Arabidopsis thaliana: one gene and its partners. The protein of the gene in region 2 interacts with the protein of the main gene of each other region in a pairwise test. Each region holds a gene or a part of one and is shown on either strand. Other genes may lie near its edges.

What was found. The genes of interacting proteins can lie anywhere in the genome.
Region 1: the proteins of NTL9 (region 2) and AT1G16950 interact in a two-hybrid assay, tested with the Arabidopsis thaliana proteins (one large-scale study listed by BioGRID).
Region 3: the proteins of NTL9 (region 2) and AT2G14860 interact in a two-hybrid assay, tested with the Arabidopsis thaliana proteins (one large-scale study listed by BioGRID).

What each region holds. Positions count from the first base shown.
Region 1 is NC_003070.9:5,794,176-5,799,422, reverse strand, and holds AT1G16950 (uncharacterized protein), read right to left. Parts: upstream 3,545-5,247; 5' UTR 3,341-3,544; coding exon 3,059-3,340; 3' UTR 2,757-3,058; downstream 1-2,756. Other genes in the region: AT1G16945 (F-box/FBD/LRR protein), read right to left, coding at 5,226-5,247. UniProt on the Arabidopsis thaliana protein: Extracellular signaling peptide that may regulate primary root growth rate and systemic nitrogen (N)-demand signaling.
Region 2 is NC_003075.7:16,887,905-16,896,914, forward strand, and holds NTL9 (NAC transcription factor-like 9), read right to left. Parts: upstream 2,898-9,010; 5' UTR 2,841-2,897; coding exon 2,675-2,840; intron 2,557-2,674; coding exon 2,048-2,556; intron 1,972-2,047; coding exon 1,624-1,971; intron 1,472-1,623; coding exon 1,196-1,471; intron 1,102-1,195; coding exon 982-1,101; intron 816-981; coding exon 630-815; 3' UTR 501-629; downstream 1-500. Other genes in the region: HMGB5 (high mobility group B5), read right to left, coding at 65-151, 234-280; RKD5 (RWP-RK domain-containing protein), read left to right, coding at 5,005-5,018, 5,103-5,257, 5,359-5,587, 6,020-6,285, 6,429-6,655, 6,740-6,961; CST (Protein kinase superfamily protein), read left to right, coding at 8,544-8,607, 8,717-9,010. UniProt on the Arabidopsis thaliana protein: Transcriptional activator activated by proteolytic cleavage through regulated intramembrane proteolysis (RIP). Calmodulin-regulated transcriptional repressor. Binds several synthetic promoters with randomly selected binding sites.
Region 3 is NC_003071.7:6,384,825-6,391,288, forward strand, and holds AT2G14860 (Peroxisomal membrane 22 kDa (Mpv17/PMP22) family protein), read right to left. Parts: upstream 4,845-6,464; 5' UTR 4,740-4,844; coding exon 4,425-4,739; intron 4,034-4,424; coding exon 3,805-4,033; intron 3,351-3,804; coding exon 3,226-3,350; intron 3,086-3,225; coding exon 2,996-3,085; 3' UTR 2,757-2,995; downstream 1-2,756. Other genes in the region: AT2G14850 (transcriptional regulator of RNA polII, SAGA, subunit), read left to right, coding at 1,576-2,451; AT2G14870 (RNA-binding (RRM/RBD/RNP motifs) family protein), read left to right, coding at 6,348-6,464.

The DNA of each region.
Region 1 (5,247 bases), on a different chromosome or scaffold from region 2:
TAGTAATTAATTCAACATAAAGAATATAATTAATCAGAACTTGAACCATCACTTTTTCTACATTTTTTAATTCAATATATCCTCTTTAATTTCGAGATCCACTTAAGTGGCTAAAAATCCAAACATGCTACATATATTACTTGCCTAAAAATTAGACGATTATTATGAAAGAAACTAAATGAATATGCAGATTAAATATATCTAAGCTTTTCGAGATTTATGCTAAGAAAACAAATAATTTGAAAGATGTTTGAGGAGCCATCCTTATAACTAAAACGTAAGATATAAGATTATAACAAGAACTTAACTAAACTTTTCAAGAACATCAAGTTGAATAAGCTTAGATTGAATATGCAGAGACATGGTTAATAAAGACATGGTATATTTATAGTGTAAGAAATAAATTTTCTAAAATTTCACCGTCTCACAATTTACATTTATAACCAAAAACAAAGATATATAAATTAAAAAAAAACTGAGAATTTAAAACAACAATAAAAAAGAACTCAAGCACATTCGTTTTTCAAATGAACTAATATAGTTGGACTTTTTAAAAACAATTACAAATCATATTTATGTTTCAAAACCGATGCATTCAACTTTACTTTATATGAACAAACATTATATAAAACAATTTGTAAATAATAATACATACACCCGCACTACGTGCGGGTACTCATCTAATTGTTTTAATTGGAAACTCACGCTGTTTCAAGAGCGACTACTTGCAACAAGCCAGTTTTGTATTTTTGGGCTTTTAGCTTGAAAATTTTGGGCTTATAAGCCTGTAAGGCCCGTAACTATCCGCTTCTATCAACCGTGCCGTTTCATACGGAGTGCAAAATCATAAGTTTTAGTTTTACTTTATTTTGTGGTAATGTCAAATAAAGATGGCCAATGTCTTAGTTAACACTTAACAACTCTACCAGGTAAAGTGAAGTGAACTTCGATACATCATTGTCAAAGAATATGAAGCGAAAATAATGGATTTTGTTCTATAACAACGACGCACCAATGGTATAAAAAATTGGTACAATTCATTTGCTGATAATGAAATTAACGTGGTTCACAAGTTTCAAACGAATCTATAATAGTGCAAATTTACCAAGATTTATGTAGACTAATGTATGATAATGACCCATTGAACGATTTAAACTTTAGCTTTGGGTTTTGGAAGCAAAACATTTTATAAATGACTTTTTCAACAGTTTTCATGATTTTGAGATTGTAACCACATTCATCTGACAGCAGAATTCATGCTTTGATATAACATTAGCGTGTCATGTAATATTTATCTAAACCTACTAGTTTTGGGTTATATAACTCGACAATATGATTTTAAAATTTTCTTGAGTTAAATTCAAAGTAAGGATTTCCATTTTCAACACTTTTATGTGACATGACGTTACATATGGAAAGTCATAGGAATATCCCAATTTTTTTTTTAATTATTATTAGAAGTAAAATTTTAATAGAAATATTTGTGTCTAGGATTTTCACTACAGTCTATTAGATAATATTCATATCTTTGATTATATCAATCATTAGTCTATTTATCTATAGTCATATATTCACATTTACTTTGATTGTAATACCCTAGATATCTCTCTTTGTATATAAGCTCATCTCTGTATTATAATAAAATCATCACTTCTATAATCATGGAATCAGAGCAATAAAGCTCCTAGACCTAAATTTTTCTTCTTACTCGTCTTTTCTCTCGCAGCCGTCCAATGGCAAACACAAACACCATTCGTGATAATGATCATTATGAATATATTCTAATACAGTCTATATATATTATATTGTATACATTTAACTATATATAAACAAAAACAAAAAAAAACTACTTGAAGTTAGTAATTATTATCACTTGACAAACAAAAAAACACTACTTAAAGATATACACATGCATTGAATGTGTATAACAAGCGGCTCCATCTTACTACTAGTTGGTTAGTTAAACTTATTAAGAAAATACAAAAAAGGAAAGTGAGGAAAGAGCTTCTTGGCAAAAAGTAAGTCCTTAAATAGTATAATCCCTGAGATGAGCAATAATGGTGTTCCTTATATTATTGCATGTCTATTTTCTCTTTTCTTTTTTCTTCTTCTTCTTCTTCTCTTTAGTCGAAACCCTGAATCTATTCAATTTCACTAAACAAAAATGTCAACTGGAGAGAGGAAGACGTCTCTTACGTAAACAGACATAATTATTGTCAAATCATCAACTTTTTCTACGAAGATGTCAAAACGAAGCTTTTGAATTATTGTTTACTTTCTAAGTTACAGGCTTTATATGTAGCTTTCTTCATGAAGAATATGATTTACGTACGCAACCTTTTTACATTGTATCGATTATGGTGGGCACCAATCGTACGTTCATGTTTATATTTGTGTAAAAATCGTATGATGTAATTTGTCCCTTTGAGTCTATAGTATTCTTTGGACACCGTGTGAACTACAATTGGGCAACTATTAATAGCCTTATATTATTTATACCCACAAATGAATTTTTTTACCAAATTAAGAATGTAGTTCTTCTAAATACACACTATCGAAAATAAAACGAGGATTTAATCAAATTTTCTGATACTTTGAGAATATAATTTTTTTAATTATAAAAGAAAGTGTACACATGAACTCAATCTCTTTAATGCAAGAAAAAAAATTGATATGACAAAAATAGTTTTGATAACTTCGGTTTTTCTAAGCGATAATTGACAAATAAGTCATAAGAATATCATTTAAACTAAGTTTTCTCTAAATACATAATATTTTCAAACGGACAAAAGCTGTATGTCGTTACATATAGAGATCTGCAATATTCGACAACATATATAATTGAATAAATGATAAATCAAAGTGTAGAATAGTGGTTTTTTATTACTCAATAACGGATCGGATCACACACAAACATATCTATATCAATTATATATGAAGACACACATACACAAACATTCTTGAGAAGACTTACGAACGGTATATGATATCATTGTGAATAGAATTCGACAACATGTCAACATATATGAAGTGAAAAGACGACAATCAATTAATGTGCCTAATGACCCACGCCGGGGCTAGGGACTGATTCTAGTCGACGGTATATCTCCGGCGAGTTTTCTGGTACCATACGCTGGTCGGTATCATCCGGAGGAGAAGTGTGACCCTTGTCGCTTGGACCCGAAGGTGGTACATTGCCCTTGGGTAGGGCACTAAGAAACAAACCCTTGCTTGTGCCGTAAGGGACTAGAACTTTTCTAGCTTGAGAAGATTGCAAGACAAAACCAACAATCAAAATGAGTAAGCAAATCATCGAAATGGAGATCCTTGGACGAGCCATTACCTGATTGATTTTGTTGTATAATTTTAGATATTAATTAATTAGTTATGAAGCAAGAAATTTTTAGTTTATTTTTTGGGATTTGGTTGTGTTTCTGTGAGTGAATACTTTGATAGAGTGGATATATATAGAGAGAACAGGAGATGGATGAGGTCAATGGAAATTTATTTGGGTTAGGTACAAATGAACTAAATTGGTGAGTTCGTATATATAAAGTGTTTATGTTTGTAATTGATGGATCAATGCATATATGTAGGTGTTTTTTTCTTTCTTTTTTGACAAAGTGTATGTTATAATTCCAAGCAGCAGACAAAAACACTTTCACGTTACATGCTTTTCATTGCTTATCTGAATATGATAATTTAACAATAATATCAAAATAGCAGAATTGAGTTTTATACAACATAAATGTCATATAAAATATATATGTATATCTTCTTTTTGGTTTTTGTTTTGTCTTTACTTTGATCACCACTATAAAACGGTATATAAAATAATTAGTTGTTTGTATTCAGTTAAATATTTTGTTTGTTAGGTGGTAAAAAAAAAAAAAAAATTGTTCAATGTCTTGCTAAGTTGCTGACTGAGATGTTCCATAAGAGACGATAAAAGTTGATGAAGTGATCTCGATGACTACTTATTTAGCAAAATATAAATATCGATGACCACTTATTTCTATGGCTCATTATCAGTGTGGTTCAATACTATTGTATGAGTGCTTTGTTGAAAGCATTGCTTTCTGTTGTTTTGGAGTTTTGTGTGTTTTACTGTTTATAGCAAAATTTTATCCGTGGCACACAATTATATGCTTTAAACATATTACTTTTCATACCTCTTGTTCTCTATTATTGAAGTTTTTTTTTTTTGGTCAAAGTTCTCTATTATTGAAGTTCTAGTAAAAATATAAACCCAAAATTAATGATACATCAGAATTTGGTTGAATATATATGTATCATAGATTTAGCATTATTATCTTCCATTATAAGGAGGTACAACTACACGAACCATATACCACACGAGTCCGTATTAATAAAAATGACAAATGTAATTACACTATAAGAACAATAACTACAACTATTATCAGAAATTAAAACAAACAAAAAAGTCAAAAATATATAACTACAGTACATCCTCCGTGGGAAGATTGAAAAGTAAATCATAGAGCAAACAATCTCGTAATTAGTTAATCATATCTTTGATTATATTATAACCAACAGATTTCTTCTCAGTCATCATCTATAACTTCTGCATTGTATGATAAAAAAAAAATCGAAGAGTACTATATTATAAACACAGATCTGTTGAAAACGTATGTCTGATTTTACCCAGAGTTGAAAAAAAAAGATGAAAAATTCAGAGTCAAACAAAGAATCACGAAAGAGTACTGAGCAAGGAACGACGATCAGATCACCCTACTCTGCTTAGGGTTTGTGAGTCTTGATCACGTATTTCACGTGAATGCGGCTATTTAAAGGTCAACTGAGAAGGTTAATTTAACTTGAAAATCCAAATTCTATAATAACCAAGATTTACGTAAAAACAAAAAATATATCGTCCCAATAAAAATAAATAAAAGAATATCATATCATCGTCCCAATAAAAATAAGATATTTTTATCTAATAGCACATCTGGTTTTAATGTTTTATCATTCTTAATTCTTATAACACCAACAGAGAGTAGAAACCCTGCTCTGTAGATCATCATCGGATACAAAACTGGATTTATCGGAGACGATAGACCTCACAAGCTGGCTCAATTAATCCATGACAACTTGACTACTCGTAGAGCTTCTTGGAATCGCTTTGATTTCGTCGATGATGTTACAGAAACAGGCACTTACTGTCAGTTTCTTGAGAGCTGCACCATTTTCTACAAAGTACTTTGTTAATTTTCTCTTACTTGATGT
Region 2 (9,010 bases):
ATTAATTACTGTAATCAAATTAGTGAAGAAAAAAGAAGAAGAGAGATTAGTGATTTTTATTTACAGGAAGACGAAGAAAGGACTTGGTGGTTTCTTAGGCCTGTTTGGATCCTTTGTTTTCTTTCCAACTTTGTTCCCTCTAACTTTCAATCTGAGAATCATAAAAGACGATTTCAAAACTACGGAAACAAATTGAATCTAAGAATCGAGATTACGGATAAATATAAAGATACCTATCATCAGTGCTCCTCGATTCAACTTCCGTTTGGTTATCTTTCATCTCGAGATCTGTCACAGAGAGGAACAAAAGTGAGAATCCGGTGGGGAAAAATAGCTGACTCGGAGTTGACTCAGATGAGGCGGCGAGTAGGAGCGAGCTTACCTCTGTGTGAACACGTTTAGGTTATTTCTTTTTTTGAATTGGGGAGAGACGACGATTGAGATAATTCTTTGATGCGGTGTTAATTTAAGATGTTGGTATTTTTAATCTTGACCGTAGATAATTAAGATGTTGGTACATTTAATCTTGACCATCCGTGTAAATTCAACAGTAACTTTTATCAGATTCCTAAATAAGTTTTTAAGTTACAACACACAAACATGCTAACATTGCATCATCCCTAATTACATTAAACTACATTTGATTCTCTCTCTCTCTCTCTTTGTGTCTCATGTGTCATGAACTCACCAGTGTCCTCCATATACCCATCCCTACCCCAACCATCACAGCCACCATTACCGTTGCAACCACCTTCCATCGCTTCCCTCCTCGTCTCTTTCTGCTCTGCACCTGTACCTGTAACCACAACAAACTTCTCTTTAGACAAAGATACTTCTCAGTTTCTTTTATCATTACTAGCTGATCTCACATGCTCTACTGATTGCTTTCTCTTTTTTTTCTTTCTAATTCTATAGTATTTAGTAGAGCTTACTACTATACTCTTTCTTCATTCATGTGTAAACAAGTTCACTCATTCTTACCTCGTCGTCTGCAAATCTCTCTCCTTTTACTTGGCCTATAGTTCCCCGCGCCCTGAGCTTTATTTGAGGTTTAACCAAAGAACCACTCTTCTCTGAGTATTTAGCTGCAGCTTCTTTGGCCTGCACATCCCCACCATTAACAACAAATTAAAAAGATGCATCCTTTATGTTATTGATGTCTAAGACACAACTTTTGGAATCACTAGTCTCGTACCTCGGGAATAACAGTGTGTCCTTCATTCACCTCCTCTCGTTCTTTTACTTCAGAGTTAGACTGCAGCTGCAGACGGATTCTCCTTGGAGCAATACCCTGGTTTATCAATCCTGTACTCTGCCGGTTCTGAGGCTGTCGAGCCCGGATCTTTATCCCTCTCCCTTCTGTGAGGTTGTTCTCTGTGTTATGATTGATCATTTGCTCTTGCTGAACCAAATCACTATAGTATGAATTAGTGTCACTTGGCCAACCAGAAGCTCCACCTTCTGAACCATACTGATCAAACAAAAGATAAAAATTGTCATTTTACTTATGTCAAGAGTGATTGTAAAGATAACTGATCTAGAGGTTTCTAGCCTACTTAAAGCAAAATAATTTGGATACTTCTAAAATTGTATAGGCCTCAAAATATGTATCTTTGTGCTCACCTGCAATTGCGCCATCTCAGCATCTGTATCAGTGAAAGCCATGAAGTCGTTGAAGAAAGCATCCTCTGGTGCTGCAGACTGCAGCATTTTAGCAGATGAAAATATCCCATTTGGTGAGACTGCTGGATTCTCTCGACTGATCGATTCCTCGCAAGAGAAGTCATCAGGGTTATTGAACACCTCCTCCAACAATTCTGTTAGTGATACATCTGGTTCGCTGGTACCATCTTGAAATTGGAATCCAATCTCATCGTAACTGAAATCACCAGCATATATAGAATCCATACACGGTAGTGGTGCCTTTTGATCTTCAAGGTCACAAGATAACCAAAGATTCTCTTCAGGTGCCTATGAACACAAAACTCAAAATTAGTCAAGTCACTCAAAAAAGCCTAATTAATTATTCAAGAGTTTCCATTCATACCTCAATCATTGTCCCATCTGCGGTACTATTACTATGAGCATAACCGCATCCACCTGAATAATCTGATGGTTTCTCAACAGCAGCATCAGAGGAAGGTGTTTCTTGAACAAGATCAGATGATGTATCATCAGGTGAGTATTTGTTGCTGGCCGTAAAAGCTGCTTCATCGGACTTGACACCATTAACCCGATCATCAGGCTTGTGGAAGAGGCGACAAAGAACGTAAGGGCTTTGGCCAGGGGAAGTGCCATCAAGATCCTTAAGAGTGGGACGATACTCGTGCATAATCCAATTAGTCCGCTCACCTTTAGGAGCTCGTCCACGATAGAAGACAAGAGTCTTCTTCATACCGATTAAAGTCTTCTTAGACTTGATGCTACGATCTTTACCAGTAGCTTTCCAATAGCCAGAGTCAGTTGCTCTGTTAGAGCGATGACCATTAGGGTATTTCCGATCACGAGGGCAGAAAAAGAACCACTCTGGATCATCCGTCTTAATCACCGAGAGAGCTGCCGACAATCAGATTTGTTTCCAATTGAGTAAAGAAAAAAAAGGTGGAATCTTTGAGAGGGAAAACAGAATCTGAGAATAAAAGGAATCAAATTTTGAGAGAATAAAGAGACGAACCAGGAAGATCCCAAGGTTCCCATTTGCAGACATCGATATCAGGGATGACACGGACATCGGAGTGACGTCCGTTGATCTTGAGACGGAGGTAGTGATTGACGAGCTCTTCATCGGTAGGTCTGAATCTGAAACCTAAAGGAAGCGACTCCATCGATACAGCACCCATAATCCTCTTCTTTAGGGTTTCTTTCCGACTTTGAATACACTCTCTGCTTTTTTTTCTGCTTTCTAAAAAGTCTTCAACACTTTGCTTTCTCTCATCTTCTTTTTTTTTTCCCTCTTTTTTTTTAACCTTTCTTTAGACCACGTGAGAAAGATAACTTCCACTTTAAACACTTGTCCTCTTCTGTCTTATTGTCTTGTCTTGTCTTTTCTTGATAGGCTTCCATTATTGTGGCTAGGGCCCAAAAAGGCCTTAAAGCCCAAAGCTTCGTGGTTTTTCTTCTCTTGTGGTTTAGGCTTTACAGTGATCAGAGAAACCCAAAACACGTTGGAAACGTCTAAGCAGAGAAAAACAGAGCTTCCAACAAATTCAGCATTGTAATTCTTCTAGACGTTTTATACAAATTTTACATATACACTATGGAACTCTCCTTGCATTTCTACCAAATCTGAATTGAAAAAGGGATTTGTAAGATATGAAAATGCGATAACGTTGCCTAGATTAATCAGTTTTCGACATTTTTTTTTTCCTGTTCCGATTCCATGTAACTTTTTGAGGGCCACAACTTTTCTTAATTAAAAAAATAAGAAAAATAAAAGCTCAAGTGACAATCAGTTTTTGAAAATGATACTAACTAAGCTCTTAACATTTTTACGCATGTATATAAACATTAATCTTTTATTTGGTCTTAAATACAAAGCATATATATGATGCTATCAATCTAAATGGTCTATTTGTACATAATTAAATAAAACATAAAATTAAAGCCTGCGCATACAACATGTCTACAACCAAAAACTTCTTTCGTTTATATCAAAATCAACATCCCAATACTTCATCTTCTCTTCTCTTCTATTTGGCACTTATAGACGCGAAAGGTTTGAACCGGCGGGAAAGTAAGACACCATAATCGGAGCTCTCGGGGATTTGCTTTTTGGTTTCTTTGAGGACAGGACTTTCAAGTCACTCTCATCAGTTGAGCTAATCTTTGAGTCTGATTTTGGAACAAAGCAATCAAAGACGGAGGCAAAGAGAGAACACATGATCATAGGAGTTTGAAAAACGTGTTTGGAGTCTATATACGATGAATGATATGATTAAGATTTGATCTCAGGTAATTACGTGAACGATATGTATTTATAAGACAACCCATCTTTATAAATTCTTGGACACGTTTCTAGGAAATGACCACTAAATCTTGCTGGCCAAGCTTTGCCCTATTCTTAATTGTTTTCTCTTTTGACAACACTTGGGCACCTTTTTTGACTCTTTGGGCCTAATTGGACCAACTATTGATACCAAACATACGTTAACATCACCTCCATATCACTCACCCAATCAAGTTTTCCAAAATGTTATGATTAAAATTAGGGTCTTCATGTCACTATCCAACAAAAGTTTTCCAAAATTCAACATTAAAATTAGGGGAAATATGTACGAAATAGAACTTATATATCCATGTTAAGAAGAAAAAAAACTATATATCCAAGCAATACAAAATATTTAGGTTCTACACTCCATTTTATACAAAATATTAATTGTTTTCGATTAGAGTTTTATTAGAAAGTTCTCACTCAGATAAAATCAAAACTAGTACTCTGTATTTTTATATAGAGAAAAATCCTTGTAAGTTAATGTTACTAATACTACCCAAGTACCCAGAGTATTTTGACACATTCTATTGACTTTTGATTGAAACATGTCCGGCTTAATTTAACGCAATTATTCAGTTTAGATTTTGAACACCTTAAATGAATTGGCTTTTAACAGATCATAATATCAATACCAGTTTTAGTCCTTGAGAACTCAGCCCATGACTTAAAATATGAAAACTTCAGCCCATGACTTAATAAATGAACAAAGAGAACCCAAAAACAGAAAATGAATCATGGACATATTTACATATATCATAATCTGACCAAATTGGAAATTATGCTCAAATGCTTAATATTCCTCTGATTCATTTACCAAATTCAACCTCTGTAGAATCATTCTAAACAAAATTCAATTACCACTTTTCAGACATGCGTCGCGCGTGTGAGTGTTTAGCTACATGGGCTTGGTTCGGTGCAACCCGCTTCCCACTGTTAATTTTACATAACTACCCTCGCACGCTCCGCTTGCCTACACGTGCGTTCCGGAATATTCTGCCTTTTTGGTAATTTCGATGGTGGACCAAGGGTAAAATTTTAACCTACTTTTCTTGGAGCCTTTTCACTTAATGACAAACGCTTCAAGTACATAAAACCTTGGATTCTTCTGCAGATTTTTCACACTAAAAAAGGAAAAAAAGAAAAATATATTAATAAAACTTTTTTATGTTAAAATCTTGGGCTTCTGCTTTTGCGACTCTTGGTCTTCTTCGGACATGGCACATTCCTTAACCTCACTCGCCGTTTTCCAGAGCGTCATCCGCAAAGGTAAGTCAAAACTCTGACTAGAATCTCGAATCGGGTCGGAATGACTCGGGTCGGATTGAAAAATGGTTTTTATTTTGTTTCTATGGGTTTTGTTAATGCAGAGATGGTGAGGAGTTTGCATGTCTATGAATCGGTGGAGATTGAGAGAGAGTTCTGGTTCAAGAGCAAAAGCTGTTATGTAGAGAAGAAAGCGAAGCCTCTGTTTCGTTCGGAAGATTTCCGGCGACCGGAGATCTCGGAAGGGTCGGTTTTTGGCACGTGGCGTTGTATCTTTGTGTTCCGGTTTAATCACTCGCTTCCTCGGTTTCCTACTCTTCTCTGTCTTTCCAGGTAACGCCAGTTTTGACTCATTCATTATTCGGAACGTTTTTGTTTTAAAAATTTTTGGTGCTGTTATATTTTTCACATAACAGATTGATTTTTTTTAGAATTAGGTCTCTTGAATCGAATTGTAGATTATATAGTGTTACTGTCTTATTGACTCCAAGACTGTCAAATTTTGACAACAATGGCACAAAAATAGCAATGGACTATGTAAAGTGAATGAGTTAAGATTACCTAATTGTGAACAAATAGGCTTGTAACAATAACACATTGTAGTGTTGCATAGAATTCGATCTTCTGTTATCTCTGTATTCGGTAAAAGAAATTCATAGATGTTCTAAAACTTAACATTTTACTAAAAAAAAAGCACATTGTAGTGTTACTTGAGTTGTGAGCATTTTTAGCAACCAAACATGTTTTTGCTCTTTTTATTGATAGAAATCCCAAACTGGAGGACATCCCTAATTTAGCCAACGAGCTCAAGTTTATCTCCGAGTTAAAACCATCAAAGATTTATGAAGAAGAACAATGCAGTAGCAGTACAGAGGGATATTATAACTCTGATCTGCCTAAACCACGAAAGCTCGTTCTGAAACAAGATCTTAACTGCCTTCCTGATTCAGAAACCGAATCCGAGGAATCTGTAAACGAAAAAACCGAACATTCGGAATTTGAAAACGATAAAACTGAACAGTCGGAATCAGGTAAATCTCTTTCTTCAAATGTCAATAGACTTGCCTTCCAGATAATATATAACTCTAGGCCAGTTTTAAGCTCTCTTTTTTTTGGTACAAGGTCCAGTTTTAAGCATTTTGGTGATTAATTTCGGGTTATTGTAAAAACACAGATGCTAAGACTGAGATTTTGAAGAAGAAGAAGAGGACACCATCGAGACATGTTGCTGAACTATCCTTAGAAGAGCTTTCAAAATACTTTGACCTCACTATCGTGGAAGCTTCTCGGAATCTCAAGGTCGGTCTCACTGTTTTGAAAAAGAAATGCAGAGAGTTTGGGATTCCACGGTGGCCTCATAGGAAGATCAAATCTCTCGACTGTCTCATCCACGATCTTCAGGTCTTCTCTCTCTCTCTCTCTCTTTATCAATCCTAATACATCAATTCACTGAAAGAAGCATTGATTTGTTTTGGTATTGATTAGAGGGAAGCAGAGAAGCAGCAGGAAAAGAATGAAGCAGCAGCAATGGCGGTAGCTAAGAAACAGGAGAAACTGGAGACAGAGAAGAGAAATATAGTGAAGAGACCATTCATGGAGATAGGGATAGAAACCAAAAAATTCAGACAAGAAAACTTCAAGAAAAGACACAGGGCTTCTAGAGCCAAGAAGAATCAAGAATCTCTTGTCACTTCCTCTTCCACTTAAAGACTTTAGGTCCTTTAACAGTAACATCGGATATATTAGTTAGTTAGGGGTTTCTGTGAAGCGTTTTGGTATTTAGAAATGTTAGTTACAAGTCTAACAGATGATGCTAAGCCATGTTTGTTTTTGGTATAAGAAGTTCCAAGAAGAGAGGAACTCTTGTATCATGATTTTTTGTGGTCGGATATCAGAATTGAATCTTTTATTTTTTCTTAGTGCAATTAGGTAGCAATTAAGATCGAATTTCTTTATATAATGGTGAAAGATCAAACCCAAATCATGGTTTAGGAACTGATCCAAATTAACCCATCCATAGTCAAGAAAAACTTTCAAAAGTGTGATGACCAGTTTTGTTTAAGGCTATTGGTTATGTGTGTTCTTGAGTGGTCCCAGCTCGTGCTTTGAAAATCTACGACGACTCTGTCCACACGACGAAGACCATCAATTAACGTGTATCGTACAAAGAAGTTCGAAGTCTACAAGTGTGTATACGTGTGTGTGTGATCCTACGTCAATATTTACGAAAATGAGAAAATGTTTTTCTTTGTTTCATTTTCCATGCAACTGGCATTTTGTACGTGGTCAAGTATCATTTTGAAGTCATTTTCAGTGTTTTTGATCAAAAATTTTTTTTGTTATTTTTTGGTGAAGATCATTTTTTTTGTTTTAATATTAAAAAAGAAATAACAATACTTTATTTTCTGATCTAAAAGGCCTATATATATATATTTGACCAAACAAAAAAAGATCTATATATTATATGATCATTTAAAAATGAAAAGTATGATGTTTTGAAAAAAGGCCAACTTACGAACATCTCTGACAAAGTGAAGAAATTTTTTTCTCTTACGCATTCATATAAAGAAAAATATATTCTAATTTTGCCATTGGAGAATTTTGGTGTTTCTAATTGTGAAACAGCTCTATAGACTATAGTAGAAGTCGAATGACTTTCATATTTGTGGAAATGAATGAGAAATTTCCATAAAGACACAAACGTCCAAGCACTGTGACTGAGAGGATGACTTTTAAGCATTTTGCTGGCACAAGCAAAAGTCTTTTTACTTCCTAACGGTTTCACATCTCTACTATTTTTTGAATGATGTGGACAGTGATTAAAAAAAAACATGTGAAATAAAATTACAAATAATTCAAAGATTTCCAAAGTAAAAACAAAATTCTCAATTATTTTTTTCAGATCACACGATCATAAATAGATAGAAAAGGCTCTTAGGCTATGATTCTTCTTTTTGGTCCCATCTTCTTGGCATTTTCGTTTGTTTTTTTTTAATTTCTTTTAAATGAGAAAGAAATGCATAAAAAATGAAAAGGTAGACCAAAACCCTTCTTCGGTTCACGCTAGCAACCCCCAATTTTCCTCCCTTTATTTTATTTTGTTATCTAAATTAAGTCAAAATTATTTTGCAACCCATCGTTGCCTCTTTCAATAGTTCTAAACTCGAGCAATAAAAACTCAAATAAACCAACTGACTTGAGATCCATATCCACTAGCTCTTGTCTGAATTGGTAAAACAAGAAGAAGAAGAAGAAGAAGAAGAAGAAAGAGAAGGCTCATTAGAAATTGATGGGTGCTTGTATTTCGTTCTTTTCTTCTTCCTCTCCTTCCAAAACAGGTCTCCATAGTCATGGTATTTAATCTCTACAAGTTGTTGTTTTTCTTTCTGGGTTCTTGCATAAAACCTAAAAGATCTACACTTTCTGATCTCTCTCTCTCTCTCTGTCTTTGTTAATGATAAGCAGCCACAACGAACAACCACAGCAATGGAACAGAGTTCTCGTCAACCACCGGCGCGACAACAAACAGCAGCGTCGGACAACAGAGCCAATTCTCCGATATTTCCACTGGGATTATAAGTGATTCCGGTAAACTACTGGAATCGCCAAATCTCAAAGTCTATAACTTTCTGGATCTAAAGACGGCGACGAAGAATTTCAAACCGGATTCGATGTTGGGTCAAGGAGGTTTCGGGAAAGTATACAGAGGTTGGGTCGATGCCACGACTCTTGCTCCTTCCAGAGTCGGTTCTGGTA
Region 3 (6,464 bases), on a different chromosome or scaffold from region 2:
CTTACGCTCACTTATCATTTTGAATTTTTTTTCAAATTTTTTAATGATAGATTTAAACAATTCATTTTTAATATAGCAAACGAGACAAGATATCGATATAAAAAACTAAAATCAAAACTGAAACCTTCAAAATTTTACATTTACAATACGACAATAATTATTAAAAATATATAATTCACTCAACGATTTTTGTTTTAACTTTTAAAATATAAGAAGAAACGAGAGAACAAACCAAGACTTGGATTCTAAATTAAATTTTTAGTTTTAATTGGGAGTCAAATAATCTATTTCAATTTGGAAAACCTATAAATGAGCTACTAACAAAATAAAGTAATATGAGCTTTAGAGTTTGAAAGTAATCTCACTTGGAAGATGAGGGAAATTTTTGAATTTCTTATAGGGATATAATATAAATTCTATAAAAGTTACCTTCAAATTAAAATAAAATCAAAAAGTTAGTGGTGGCGGCTGTCTCCTTAATCAGTGTGGGTCTACCCCTGTTTGCACTACTTCATGTACCTCTTTTCTCGTGTTGGAGCTAATTATGGCTATGATTTTTTCATCAACGTCATTTCATCTTTTGATAGTAACCACCATATCGGCTATTAATCTGTTCGTAGGAGATCTTTCGACTAACTGGAATTTTACATATGTCAAACCGTTTTCTAACTTTAGTCTCAAAACTCTCATAAAATTTATATTTATTTATTTAGTTATCTTTTTTTATGGCATTGGAGAGTACCTCTCTATATTTTGTTTTAAACTTTGAGACTTTTAAATCCTACTCTTTGTAATACATTCATCTAATTTTAAAAACATATTTTTAAAAAAATTTAAGAAATTGAAAAGAACTGAAAAACAAGAAAAATAAAATAAAAAAAATTCGCACGTGTGTGACTGTCCGAACTACTAACGGAAAAGAGTTAACGAGGTTTATTTCTTCCGTCAACTCTTGTTTGGTCATCACAATTCGCACGTACGAAAACACAAAACACAAGCGAACACTTTCGATAAACAAAAAGGAAAAACAAAAAATCCCTTTAGGGCACAAAACAAAGCGAAGAAAAAACACTTCTTCTTCTTCTTCAACAACAACAAAACCCAATTTCGCGGCTAAATCAATCGCTTCTTCTACTGGTACGTACTTACTCTCTTAATTCATCCTTCAATCTTCGATTTACCTTTCTGGGTTTCGTTTTCCTCAAGTCAATTTCGATTGATTTCACTGTTTCTTCGATAAAGCTTCTTAATACTTTATAAACCTCGGATCTTCTCAAATCTCTCTTCCTTCTTCCTAGAATTTGTCCGAAATTACGATTCTTCACCGACTCTTTCAGAAATTTATGTTTGATTTTACTTTCTTAGTTAGTCAATTTGTTCAACGTATTTGCTCTAGCTCGCTCAGGTTATCTACCTGAACTTCTTCTTCTCTTACTTCGATCTCAAGAATTAATGTATGTCTTTGATTTTGAATTGGGGTTTTTTAGGTCTTGGAATTGAGAGAAGAGACCAGTTTCGCTGGATCTTTGAATGAAGCTGGATTTGGATTAAGTTCAGGTGTAAATTTGTTGGAAGATGGGGTCAGATCAATGTTTTTCGAGATTGAATTCACTTGAGATTAAAGCCCTAATTTATCAGAAAATTGGGCATCAGAGAGCTGACACTTACTTCGACCAGCTCGGAAAATTCCTTACCTCGAGGATAAGCAAGTCCGAGTTCGATAAGCTATGTAGCAAGACGGTTGGTAGAGAGAACATTTCTCTACACAACCGTCTTGTACGTTCGATTCTGAAGAATGCAAGTGTTGCTAAGTCTCCACCGCCGAGGTATCCGAAGAAATCTCTTTACGGGGATCCCGTGTTTCCTCCTTCGCCGAGGAAATGCAGGTCGAGGAAGTTTAGAGACCGGCCTAGTCCTCTTGGTCCACTTGGGAAGCCTCAAAGTCTCACTACTACGAATGATGAGTCAATGTCAAAGGCTCAAAGACTTCCTATGGAAGTTGTCTCTGTTGAAGATGGAGAAGAAGTTGAGCAAATGACGGGTAGTCCGAGTGTGCAAAGCAGAAGCCCCTTAACCGCTCCACTCGGTGTTTCTTTCCATCTTAAGAGCAAAGCTAGATTTAGTACGTACAATGGTATCAACCGTGAGACGTGTCAAAGCAGCGGGGAGTTACCTGATATGATAACATTGAGAGCTCGGTTAGAGAAGAAATTGGAGATGGAAGGGATAAAGTTATCTATGGACTCTGCTAATCTTCTTAATCGTGGGTTGAATGCATATATGAGAAGGCTGATCGAGCCTTGTTTGAGTTTAGCAAGTCAACAAAAGCGAGCGGTGTCTAATGTATCGATGTTGGATTTCCATGCCGCCATGGAGGTTAATCCCCGGGTTCTTGGAGAGGAATGGCCTATACAGCTAGAAAAGATCTGTTGCCGTGCTTCTGAAGAGTAAAGTTGTAGAAAAAACGCCGTAATTTAGCGATACACCGATTATCATATTTGATTGACAGATTTGGTTCCTTTGCCTGAGATTCTTTCCTTTGGATTTGAGTGGAATTGCAATTAGAAATTTCTTGAGGAAGCTTTGAATGGGAAACAAAGGTTCTTGGGATTGTACAAGTTCTGATAGATATAATATAGTTTAAATACCATTTGTTTAGGTGATATCTTTACTTTTTTCTGTATTTTTTCCTCACGTCTAATGTAACAAATTTTCCATGAAAGCAAAAGAAAGTTTTAGCAGTTGCATAGACTCTTTCCTCTTACATTTCAGTGAAGCAGAACATAACTTAGACAAATAAGAGGAAACAAAACTTCATTACTTCGTGATATACATGTCTGACATGAGAAGTTCTTCCAAGCTCTTACATTGTAACAACCTAATTCTACAGACAGTACAGAATAATTTTGAAGAATGCTCATTGCAGTTTGATGTGGCGATAACTGAGCACTAAGGGAGGCATTGCCCGAGTCGATGTAGAAGATATGTGAGTGTTTCAGGTTGAAATTGCGACTGGTTTTTCACGGTTTGCCATGTAAGTCATGTAGATAGTCCATACATACGAAAATGAGTTGCTTACAAGAGGCTGCATGGAAATAAAAGCAAGAGCAGAGTGAGTGCATCCTGAGATAAGCAGCAAGAACACAAAAAGTAATGGAGAACGTAAAAGGATTGTCTTTTTTGTTTTGTGTCTTGAACACAAGAATGGCGAGTCAAAAGGATTACCTGTAAATGAACAGGGAAGAATCTGAATGTGATAAAATCACATAGAGGCCAATACATGACACCGTTAAAGAGCGCGGGGAGTAAGTCCCTTTTCAATCTGGCAAGTATAACTGAACCGCGTTCCCCTGAACAAATATCGGAAAAGCAGAATAGCTTAGAACATGTCCAAGATCAAACAAATCTGACATCAAGAAATGAATTCAAGAAGCAGAGAGGCGACTTGTTATAAAACCTATGTAATTCAGAGTAAAACTAAGAGCAGAAACTACATTCTCTCAGTTTTGTTAATTCGAGATTGCGGGTTTCTTCTTATCTAAATAACCAATCAATCACCACTTATCATTCTCACCATTGACACATACTAGCCACGAGCAAAACTGATTAAGAGTTGAGTAAAACTGTAATGGCAAGCAACAGTTCACAATAGATAAACTTCAGAGTTGGACGATATCACAATTTTGTGAAGAATTTTCAACTGAATTGAGACAATAGAAGAACGAAAAGATATGTTAAACGGGTTAGTCTGTTTCTTCCTATCCTAACACAATCCTGTTCTTAGATATATACAAGGAGCTTTACCTTGTAGGGATGCATTCAATGAGAAGAAAATAACAGTCATAATAGGCCCGTAGATCGTCTGTCCCATAGCCATTTTCTTAAACGTTGTGATCAAATCTTGTTTAGGAAAGAGTCTTGACATGAAATTGAACCAGTAGTGAAGTGTTGGACCCAAGACAAATAAACCATATCCTCCCATCCTTGCTGTTCTCACCAAGTCATAAGACTCAGAAGAAGTTTTCGCAATCGTCTATACAAAGATCAAAAACAAAATGAACCAACCAACGTCAGCTCTTAAGAGCAAGTACTCACACTGTAGAAAGCTCCAAAAAACCAACACACTACAAGGAAACGTAACCGTAGCTAATAGAACTCCTCAAAATTCACATTGCACAGAGCTAATTAAATCACCATTTCAAGAAGTCTCATTCCTCCAATAAAAAACCAAACTTTACTTCTCCTACTGTTTGATATTAGTATCAAAGACCTAGAAACATCTCCCAAACAAAACTTAAGCCATTTTATATTTGTGAATCTCATAGCTAAAGAGTACAAATTTCACAAAAAGACGTAATTTTTAGCTACCATAATTGGAAAAGGAAACTCCTTTTTCCAGTAAAAGCCAATTGCTAAGTTAGTACCTGAGAAGACAAGTCGGCGGCAATGTAAATAAGAGAGGAAGTGACACTTTTGGTCACAACTGGGTGTGATTTAACCATACCAAGATACCATCCAACGAACCCAATCCTCGACGGAGATGAAGAAGAAGAGAAACCCAAAGAAGGAGAAGGTGAGACTCCTGTTTCTTTTGCTCTTTCGAGAAGCTGACGTGACCGGAAATAAGGTCTCGATTGAGCAACTCCGGTCTTACCATATTGGTCTGTTGACGCCGCCGCGTTCCGCCGTATGAGCCGAGCGGTGTCGACGGCTACGTTCCTGAACAATGCTCTGCTCATTATGGCTTCCGAGATTTTAGGGGTTGTTGTTGTTGTTCAGGTATCAGAAAGCTTTGATGATGACTGCAAAAAATTGATAGATTTTTCCAATTTAAGTAGTTTCAGTCGGTTTAGCTAAACCGTACATATACCGAGTTACCCAAAATATCCGGTATAAATGGCCAAAAAACTCAACCACTTTATGGAATTAGTTGGGGTGGGCATTTAGGTTTAACTTCGGATTCGGTTTGAGTTTGGTTCCGTTCGGTTTTTTGGGTTTTGTAAAATTCTAACCAAACTCAACCGAAAGTAGTTGAAGTTAGTATGGTTTGGTTTGGGTTTGGGTCAATCTATGTTCGGTTTGGTTTGTTTTTAGTTCGTTTGATTTTAATTCGGTTCTGAAAGACGAATCAATATAACGAAACAAAACTATTTCGTTCATTATTGTTTGAACGTTGAATTTGATCATAGTTAAGTTAAGCAACAAGTTCAAGTTGCAAAATTTAAGTTGAATAATTCAAATAAGGGAAATTTGTACATAACATTAAAAAAACTTTAATTAGGTAACTAACCAAAAACAAAATGTATGTAATATTCTTTGTATATTCTGTAATTTGGACTATTGTACCCTTTATGTAAACATCAAACATACTTTTCATGTATCTTCTGTGTTTTCTATAGTCTCTCATCTCCTTCTTTTTTCTATATATCTCATGATTCCTTCATATTTATTTTGTTATGGCCACTATTTCTTCTTCTTAACCAAACCCTAGCCTTAGTATTAATACTGATTGTAGATCTGCTTCAGAGAGATCGAAGGACCCAAACGATTTTATCTTATTGTTGCCTTCACTACCGAACGATTCTTCACCAATTTTTTTTTTTCCCATCTTTTCATCATTTAATGTGCAATTTCTTAGATTGTGAATTGGTGGAGAATCGTTCGGTAGTGAAGACAACAATAAGATATTGAATTATCCTCACGAGCATAGAAGACAACGGACTTACGAGTAGGAAGGAGTGTGTTGTATTTTTACACCTCACATGTGCTATTCAATGAATTATGCATATTATAGTGTTAGATATTTAATAACTTTATTTAGAATGGTTTTTCACCTAATTCACCCTTCAAATAAACCAAAAAAAAAATTAAACTACAAATAATTACATATGTACTAATATACAATATTACTAATTAATTAATTAAATAAACATATAAGGTTATTGGTTCGGTTTGGTTTAAAACAAACCAAACCGAACCATTTCAGTTGAGTGAGAAGAAACATAACTGAATAGTTTGAGTCTAAGATTGGATTTGGTTTGGGTCGGTTCTGTTTGGTTCGGTTCGGTTTGGTTAAAATGTCCATTCCTCAATTAGCAGTGCCATCAAACTAGTTACAAATTATAGGTTCGGTAGGTTCCTTTGGGTAGTTGGGTTTAATGATTTACACAACACCGTCAATAATTTCTCCTTTGCCTATGATCAATTAATGACGGTTTAATATCTTTTTCCTTTTTTTCCCTATAAAAAAATTCTCACGTGCGTCTATCGAAATCACACTAAAATTTTCTTTTTTCCATGAGAAGTTTTTTTTCTCTCCGGCTAAAGGAAGAAGAGAAGGTACCACAATGCCTCCTCGCACGGGAAAGGATAAACAAAACCCCAGGCTCCCACCGGAGGTGACTCGCCTACTCTACATTTGTAACCTTCCCTTTAGCATAACAAGCGAAGATACGTACGATCTT